Arabidopsis thaliana: one gene and its partner. The protein of the gene in region 2 purifies or fractionates together with the protein of the main gene of each other region. This does not show direct contact. Each region holds a gene or a part of one and is shown on either strand. Other genes may lie near its edges. The genes, in order: AT1G64880 and PNM1.

What was found.
Region 1: the proteins of PNM1 (region 2) and AT1G64880 fractionate together in Arabidopsis thaliana (co-fractionation; one large-scale study listed by BioGRID). This does not show direct contact.

Annotation. Positions count from the first base shown.
Region 1 is NC_003070.9:24,103,498-24,107,429, reverse strand, and holds the start of AT1G64880 (Ribosomal protein S5 family protein), read right to left. Parts: upstream 1,820-3,932; 5' UTR 1,718-1,819; coding exon 1,171-1,717; intron 1,086-1,170; coding exon 565-1,085; intron 94-564; coding exon 43-93; intron 1-42. Other genes in the region: AT1G64870 (uncharacterized protein), read right to left, coding at 3,599-3,932.
Region 2 is NC_003076.8:24,528,274-24,532,205, forward strand, and holds the start of PNM1 (Pentatricopeptide repeat (PPR) superfamily protein), read right to left. Parts: upstream 1,760-3,932; 5' UTR 1,716-1,759; coding exon 150-1,715; 3' UTR 1-149. Other genes in the region: AT5G60964 (ECA1 gametogenesis related family protein), read left to right, coding at 2,313-2,651. UniProt on the Arabidopsis thaliana protein: RNA-binding protein that functions in both mitochondrion and nucleus. In mitochondrion, it is associated with polysomes and may play a role in translation. Required during embryogenesis.

The DNA of each region.
Region 1 (3,932 bases), on a different chromosome or scaffold from region 2:
TGAATTAAGAGATACAAAAGAGAGAATGTCAAACAACTATACCTTTGTGACCTTACAAACTTTTTTTACATCTATCACATGCACATCATATCCCTGCAAAAAATAAGAAATAACCTGATCAGCTATGCTAATAATTTCAGTAATAAATTGAGAGAAAAGATGTATGGCAATATCCACCATGGTCAAAGAAAAGATAACTTCAGAACATACCAAACAAAGGGTATCATAAACTCATGTAACTATTAGACTACTGGCCTTCTTAAGTATTCATATTGCATGAAAGGAAATTGATCCATTTGTTATAATCTAATAGAATGTATGGTTGAACTTATAAGAGAATTAAGGTAATATCGTGGAAAATGCAAACATCTCTTAATAGAGATATGCCGCATTGTACTAGCACATAACGCATTTTGAAGCAACACCAAGCCTGAACTTTTTGGCTATGTGCTTCTCTCAATAAAGCAGTTACAGCACTACAGCTACAATGGTTACCACGAAAAGTTCTAAATCAAGATCAAACTCTATTGCTTACCAAGCCTGACATATAGAGAATGCACTTACTTTTCTGTATAAAGGTTGTCTTTTCTTCTCTGTCAAAGCATTTCTGTCTTCAGCCAGCTCTCTAATCTCCTCTTCCAACCGTTTCCCCTTCTTCCCAAAGGTATGATCAAGCTCAGAAAGCTTAATCTCAAGTTTCTTGTCAATCGCATTCAGCTTCTCCAACAAAATATCATCCCTTTCTTTCATGTCATCAAACTCCTCTTCATCATCATCATCATCATTGTCATCCTTAGGCCCATCAGCAACAAGACGCTCTTCTCTTTCTTCACCACCACCTTGAACATTATCACGTTCAATAACTCCATAATTAGCAGGGTTGTTTGGATCAAAAGCCTCTTTCCACTCAACCAACCTCATAGCTCTATTCAATTTCTGCTGCAGAACAAACTTCTCTTTCCCTTCAGCTACCTTCAAACGATTCATCAGCTCACCAATAACCCTATACTCAGGTCTAAGCTTGAAATGCTTCTCCTCAAATTTGTCTAATTTGTTCATCCATCTAAATGCCTCATCAAGTGTCTCTGCCAAACAATAACACAACAACTTAGAACTAATCAGAAAACAAACCATAAACCATTTCTAAGCCATAAACAAATGTTCATATACCTGACTTGGTAAGAGTCTGAAGAAGCTCCTTATGTCTCTGAAACTTCTTATTAAAGATATCTTCTTTCTTCCTCTCTTCATCCAAATCAATCTCATCATATTCACTATCCGAATCAGAAGACTCTTCACGCCTATTTAATTCACCATCATCTTTCAAATTCTGCTTCTTAAGCTTCTCGATAAACGGCTCAATCCCTAAGTAATCTTCTTCGTCTTCGGCATCAATGTCTTTGTAATCAAGTCCTTGTCTTTGTCTCTCCTCTCTCTCACGCTGCTTCTCTTTCTCAACCTCTGCTATAAGTTCTCTCACTACTCTATCAGCTTCCGATGGTGACATTGTGCTTGAGGAGAAGAAACGGTACCTCTGAGATGAGATCCATGGCGTTTGATTTACGGGAAAGAAGGAGGAGGAGTAGTAACCGGAGATTCTTCTGGGAAATGTTGATGTTGAGGAATCGAGAGTAGATATCTGACGAGAAAATGAAGATCTAGGGTTCCGGCGAAGTAGAAGACGAGGCCATGACGATGCTCGAGTTCTCAAAGACATCGTCAGAGATTCATCAGATGGAAATGGAAGATAGAAATTTCAAAAACCTTGAGAAGACTGAAATGATTTTTAGGGTTTTTGTGTGTAGTGTGACATTTATTTTACAAATGGGCTTCACTTTCACTCATGGGCCCAATTTAGTCATGTGAGTAAATCCTCCCAAAAATCACCTACAAGCTTATTTTCAAAACTTCATATGGTTGCAATGGCTGATATGTGAAAGGTTTATGAACGATATAAATCTAGTTTTTGTCAGGATTTATCCAAAAGTGCATCATTTACAGTAAATTTACATTTATTCAATTTTGAATATGACCCACGTAATAAATAAAAATAGTTTGTTCTTCGTCTTAACAACTATTTGCAATCTCTACAAGACAATATTTATTGTGTATTTCCTATTTGGATTCTTGAAACGTGACTAGGGTTTATAAATTGATTTGATGTGCCTTGATTGTTATACTTTGTTATCATACTTTGATCAATAAAGAGATTATATCCTACTCTATCTTGTGTACAAAGTTGAGAAAGATCTATCGGTAGGAAGTCTTCTATCAGAGGCGGCCAAACTAATTAGTGATGACGCTTTTGCACTGCTCTGCATCTCCAATTACTTCACTTGACTCATTTGGCTTCATTTCTCTTCCAACACACCTCTTTTAACCCCAGCAGGTCCACAAATCCAAAAACACTAAAAGATATCGAAAACTATATGTTCTCGATATCAAAGACTCGATAATATACATTTAAAAGACCTATGAAATGTGTTAAAACTAATCGCTTAACATTCGTCTGTGTATGCTTATGGTTCTGCGTTTATGGTCTTCTTTTCGAGTTCTTTTCCTTTTTCCACTGTCGATAATCTCTGTATTCATTTTAAAAAAATCCGGTTAACTTGGTTATTTTTGGCTAAATTCGATTTTTTTCCAATTAATGAAGGTAATTTGGTTCGGTTCTGTTTGATTTGATTATTGGTGAAAATCGGTCTAAATTTGGTATAATCCGTTTAATAAAAAAACAATTACTCGAGAAACCGATCCGTCTATTGTATGATTATCCTCCATTTCTAACAACATCAAAGTTTATCTCTTTGAATTTATTATCTGTGGATTTCTTGCACATTTAGACTTAATTACTTACTAAAAAGAAAGGTAAACAATAGAAGAGAGAAAATCTTTTGTTTTATTCAATAAATTTAATTGATAAAATTTTGTGATATCTTTCTTTATAAAGAAGAAAAATTTGTGCAAGACTACCATTTTTTTATTAATAAATTAAGAAACTAGCACTCTATATTCAAACTATAGTAATTAAACATGGAAGGTAGTTTATGAAAAAACTTGGTCTCTTTGTTAGTGGTGATAGTGGTTGTTGTGGTGGTAGTCCTGGTGGTTTTAACGTCAGTGGTGCTCGTGGCAGCATCAACGGTGGTAATAGAGACGATGATGATGGCGGTTGTCAATGACATCAAAGGGATCCTACTAAAATTCATTCAAAGGAGGAACCGACGGTGACAGTGACGGTGACGATGATGGTGATTTCCCCCAAATCAGCGTAGTATCGTTAGAAGCTTGGTTGATCAAAAGCTATTTATTTTAAACGTGTGAATTATATTTTATGTTGAGAAAACATTAGAGATATGGTAGTGCATAAAAATATTGAGTACCACTCTTGCTTAAAAGAAATGTGAAATATATTGGATATCTAAAGTCACCTCAAACCTCAAACTTAAGTGAAACACATTCCCGTCAAATTAAGTGAAGATACCATCGTCGAAACGTTACATATGGTTTCTAATTATTAGACTACAATATAAGATAAGGGATTTGACACCAGCAAATTGAAAAACTAGAAACTAAAAATCCTTATGACTTTATTTAATTAGATAAGACCGTCTTTATTATTCTTGAACTTACGAGCCCAAATATGCTTTCCATTGATCTTATACTTTTGTTTTTCCTGGCCGCTGAGTATACGATCTACGGTAACAACCGAGTCCAAGACCATCTTCGCGAATAGTGGTTGTTGCTGATGACCATTGCAATTTGTGTTGTCATTGGAGGAATTTCCACCGTCCTCTGGCATGTAAACGCTTTCGACACAATCTTCTCCATATATCTCGGTGAAGAGATGAATCACCTCAGCATGTGACACGGGAAAACCACGAGAAAACGTTAGAAATACCGTCCGTTCTTTATCAGTCGCGACATGGTTA
Region 2 (3,932 bases):
ACGTTACACTGAGACAAAACAAAAGATTATTGGGACAATTTGCTCATGATCAAGCAAAATGATGAGTACTCTTGACAATATCTTAAAAAGGAAAGAACAAAGACAATAATCTTTAGAAAATTCTATCAGATGTTGAAGATTCATCAGCATCACATTCTCCGTCTCATCTTATTGTGCGGTTTCTTAACAAAACTCATATTGATCTGCTTGAGCCGTTTCTTCTTCCTCGCGGTTTTCTCAGGCAAAGTCTCCCTCTTCTTAACATTGCTATCCACTTCCTTGGTCTTCTTTTTCATAAACCGTGGATCTACTCTGTATTCCTTAGGGCTAACAGCGATTCCTTTCTTAGCCGCTTCTTTATACAAACCATTAGCTCTAGTCAGCTGGTTATTCGCACACATTTTCCCCATCAACAAATCATAAGTCTTGATCCCAGGTTTGCATCCATTAGCTTTCATGCTCTTAAACACACTCATCGCATGCTCAAGCCTCTCAATCCCACACAATATCTTGAGAAACCCGTAATACTCTTTCTTATTCAAAAGCTCACCATATCCCGCTGATTTCATCTTATCGATCATTTCGTCCCCTTCACCGATCCTCGCTGCTTGATACAAACTCCTAATCAGAACAAGATAAGTCTCAGCATCTGGTTGACAACCCCATTCACCCATCCTACCAAACAATGTCATTGCTTCTTCAGTTCTCCTGATTTTACAAAGATTGTTAATCAACACATTGAAAGTCTCTGTGTTTCTAGGTACACCACGAAACTCCATCTCCAGCAAAACCTTCTCTACTTCAGGTTGAAGCTTAAAAGGATCTTTCTTCCTACAAAGCTTACAAACACAATCAAGCATCATGTTATACGCTTTGGTTCCTATCTCAAATCCTCCTCTAGACATTTCACCAGCTAACCTAGTTGCTTCATCGAGTTTCTCAGCAATACACCATCCACTAATCAACAAATCACATATATTCTCATCAGGAAATATTTCATTAGCAGTGTTCTTCACCATCTTCTCTGCGATACTCGCGTGTCCTTTCTCACAAAGCTTCTTCACAACCAAGGTAAGTGATTCTTTATCACGTTTCAAACCATAATCATTCTCCATTTTCTCGAAGAAATCAGTGACCTGCTTAGGTCTACCAGCTCTAACAAGCCTATCAATCGCCGATTCTAGTGTTTTACCTCCGGCGATACCTTTGTATTTCGAGATGATCTCTAGCATTCCTTTGAAATCTTTCCGACGGCCAAAGTAATCGACGAAAAACGAAACTGTTTCATCGGTGTGAGAGAAGTTAGAGTTCGAATCTAACCACTCGTTAAAACCTAGAGCCGCGCGACCAGCTTCCGGTGAGAGATTAAGAGTTTGGAGAATCAAATCGGGATTAGGCGTGATGTGGGAGAAGCTGAGATTGAATCTCTGCGAAATGGTTTGAGACTCGGCGTCTGGATTCCCGGTGAGCTCCTTCGAGAAAGAGAGAGCGATCTCATTCGAATCCAAAGATTCCGATTCCGCATTCGTTTCAGATGAGAAGAATCTAGAAGGAAATGTTGAGAATATAGAGGAACGGGAAGGGGGAAGAGGAGAAAACAACGGCTTGGAAGAAATGATACGGGGCTGAGATTGAAGAGTATTGACGGAGGAGGAGGAAATGAAGCTACGGAGGAGAAGCCGTCGGAGTTGCAGAGACGGTAACGACGGCGGCATTTCTGATTTAGTGAGAGAAAATTGGTAACTAGAGAGTTAGTGAGAAAGGGAAATAGAATAAAACCCTAGTTCAGGATTTAGGAACATCTTGAGTAATTGGGCTTCGTTTCGGGCCTTGATTTGCTTAAGCCCCTTTTGATTGTTTAATTTGAATTTATTATGTATCTGTTTCATTTTTACTCAAAATGGGGGTGTAGCTCATATGGTAGAGCGCTCGCTTCGCATGCGAGAGGCACGGGGTTCGATTCCCCGCACCTCCACCTACTCTAATAATAATCATGTTATAATTTTATTATTCATTTTTTTTTTAATTTAATTAATACATAGAGTCCTCATAGAATTAACATATTCCTATATTTGTTACTTAAATGTTGTTCGTTTCTAGAAGTTTTAACACTATTCAATTTTATAAACTGCTAATTAATAAGTGCTATTAAAAGAGTTCAAAGACGTTAATCAAGATAATTAATACCATAGTTTTGTTCCCTTCCATTTAAATAGGCAAGGATTTTATTGTTGTTCATCAATCAACTACTAAACATATATTTTGTTATACTAACAAAGTTTTTTTTCTTTATTTTTTCTCAATATCTCAGTATGTCTATTAAAAATGTGATTTCACTTTTAATGGTCATATGCATTATAGTCTCCGTAAATGCAAGGCCACCATTTTCGTCTATTTTTACTGATCCATATCCGTTACTTAATAGTTTTCCAGTATTTTCTCGTATATTCAAATGTTATTCATCTGTGATGAAATTTCCAATATGCGTTATAGAAACTACTCAATCCGTATCTAATAGGCGATGGGTGATTAGTCCTTATTGTTGCAAGGCATATTTACATACCAGAGATTACTGCTTGCCAAAAATTCCATACATGCCACATTTTCCTTCTTTCATAAGAAATCATTGTTTAAAAGTTGTTAGAAAATAGAATTTTAATATATATATATATATATATATATATATATATATATAAGTCTTTTAACAAAAATAAAGTTGATTTGCTAAATGTTGTACTCAAAAACTACAATTATACAATAATAGCATTACAACATTCACTTTTCTGTGTTTCATCTTTATTTAGTTGACAATATGATACTTTACATGGACATAGACATATAAACAAATAGTTACAAGGTTAATCTTCTTAAAAAATTTATGTATTTATAATTACGAATATTGAAATTCAAATCAGCAAACATGGTGAACAGATTATGTCTGGATGATGGAAATCACACATTCTAATACGTCTGAACTCTCAAGTTTTTTATTTTATAGCCGGTAACACTATAGGAGAAAATAATAACATATTAATAATATCTATATTTTTGAAAAGATAACAATCATGACTCATGAAACCGTGTCTCCCTGGCCTCCAGAGACCTCCGTAGCAAAAGTAAAAAATTATTTTGAAATTTGTGAGTCTTCTTCTAACTTGATCATTTTCTTTGGTTGCATGTGAGTCTTATATATCGTGATGAAGTCACAAAGGTTCTTTTCATAATATTTATCTTCATGTGAACATCAGCACATGAATATTATGAGTCTTATACATCAGTACATGAAGAACCCTGAACCCATCACTTAAGCTTTTAGTTTATCGTCACGCAGTAGTTGGAAAATATGGAAAACGAACCGAATTATATATTAAAAATACCTTTATAATTTCGGATGCCTCCGTAGCATAGTGGTATTGCGTTCGCTTCGTAAGCGAAAGGCCGCGAGTTCGATCCTCGCCGGGGGCTCATATTGATTTTGTCTTCTTTAGAAAATTTGTGAGCTCTTTCTCCTTTATTTTTACAGCCCAATAGCGTGTTCCCTTTGTGCGCTTATGTCCCGGTCCTCCACATAATTTGCTTACGAATATATCTCACGTCGTCATCATTTTGGGTTAGTCAGATGCTCAGCATAGGCTATGAGAATGTCGGTTCCTAACAAGCTTCCAAATACATATATCGTCAGGGATGTGTGCTAAACTAATCTCCTAATACATATATTTCGAACCTAATCTCCTAATTACTTGTTTGGAGTTAGGAGAATGATCGTTATTTGTATCCAACACTCAAGAAATGACATAAAAGGCATTAATATTTATATCGACATCAAACTAAACATGTAGACTATATGGAAATTACAACAACTCCAATTAACTAACTATAACTAGAAAACAAAATTATTTCGTACCGTGAAAAATCTAGCAAAACTGTATATA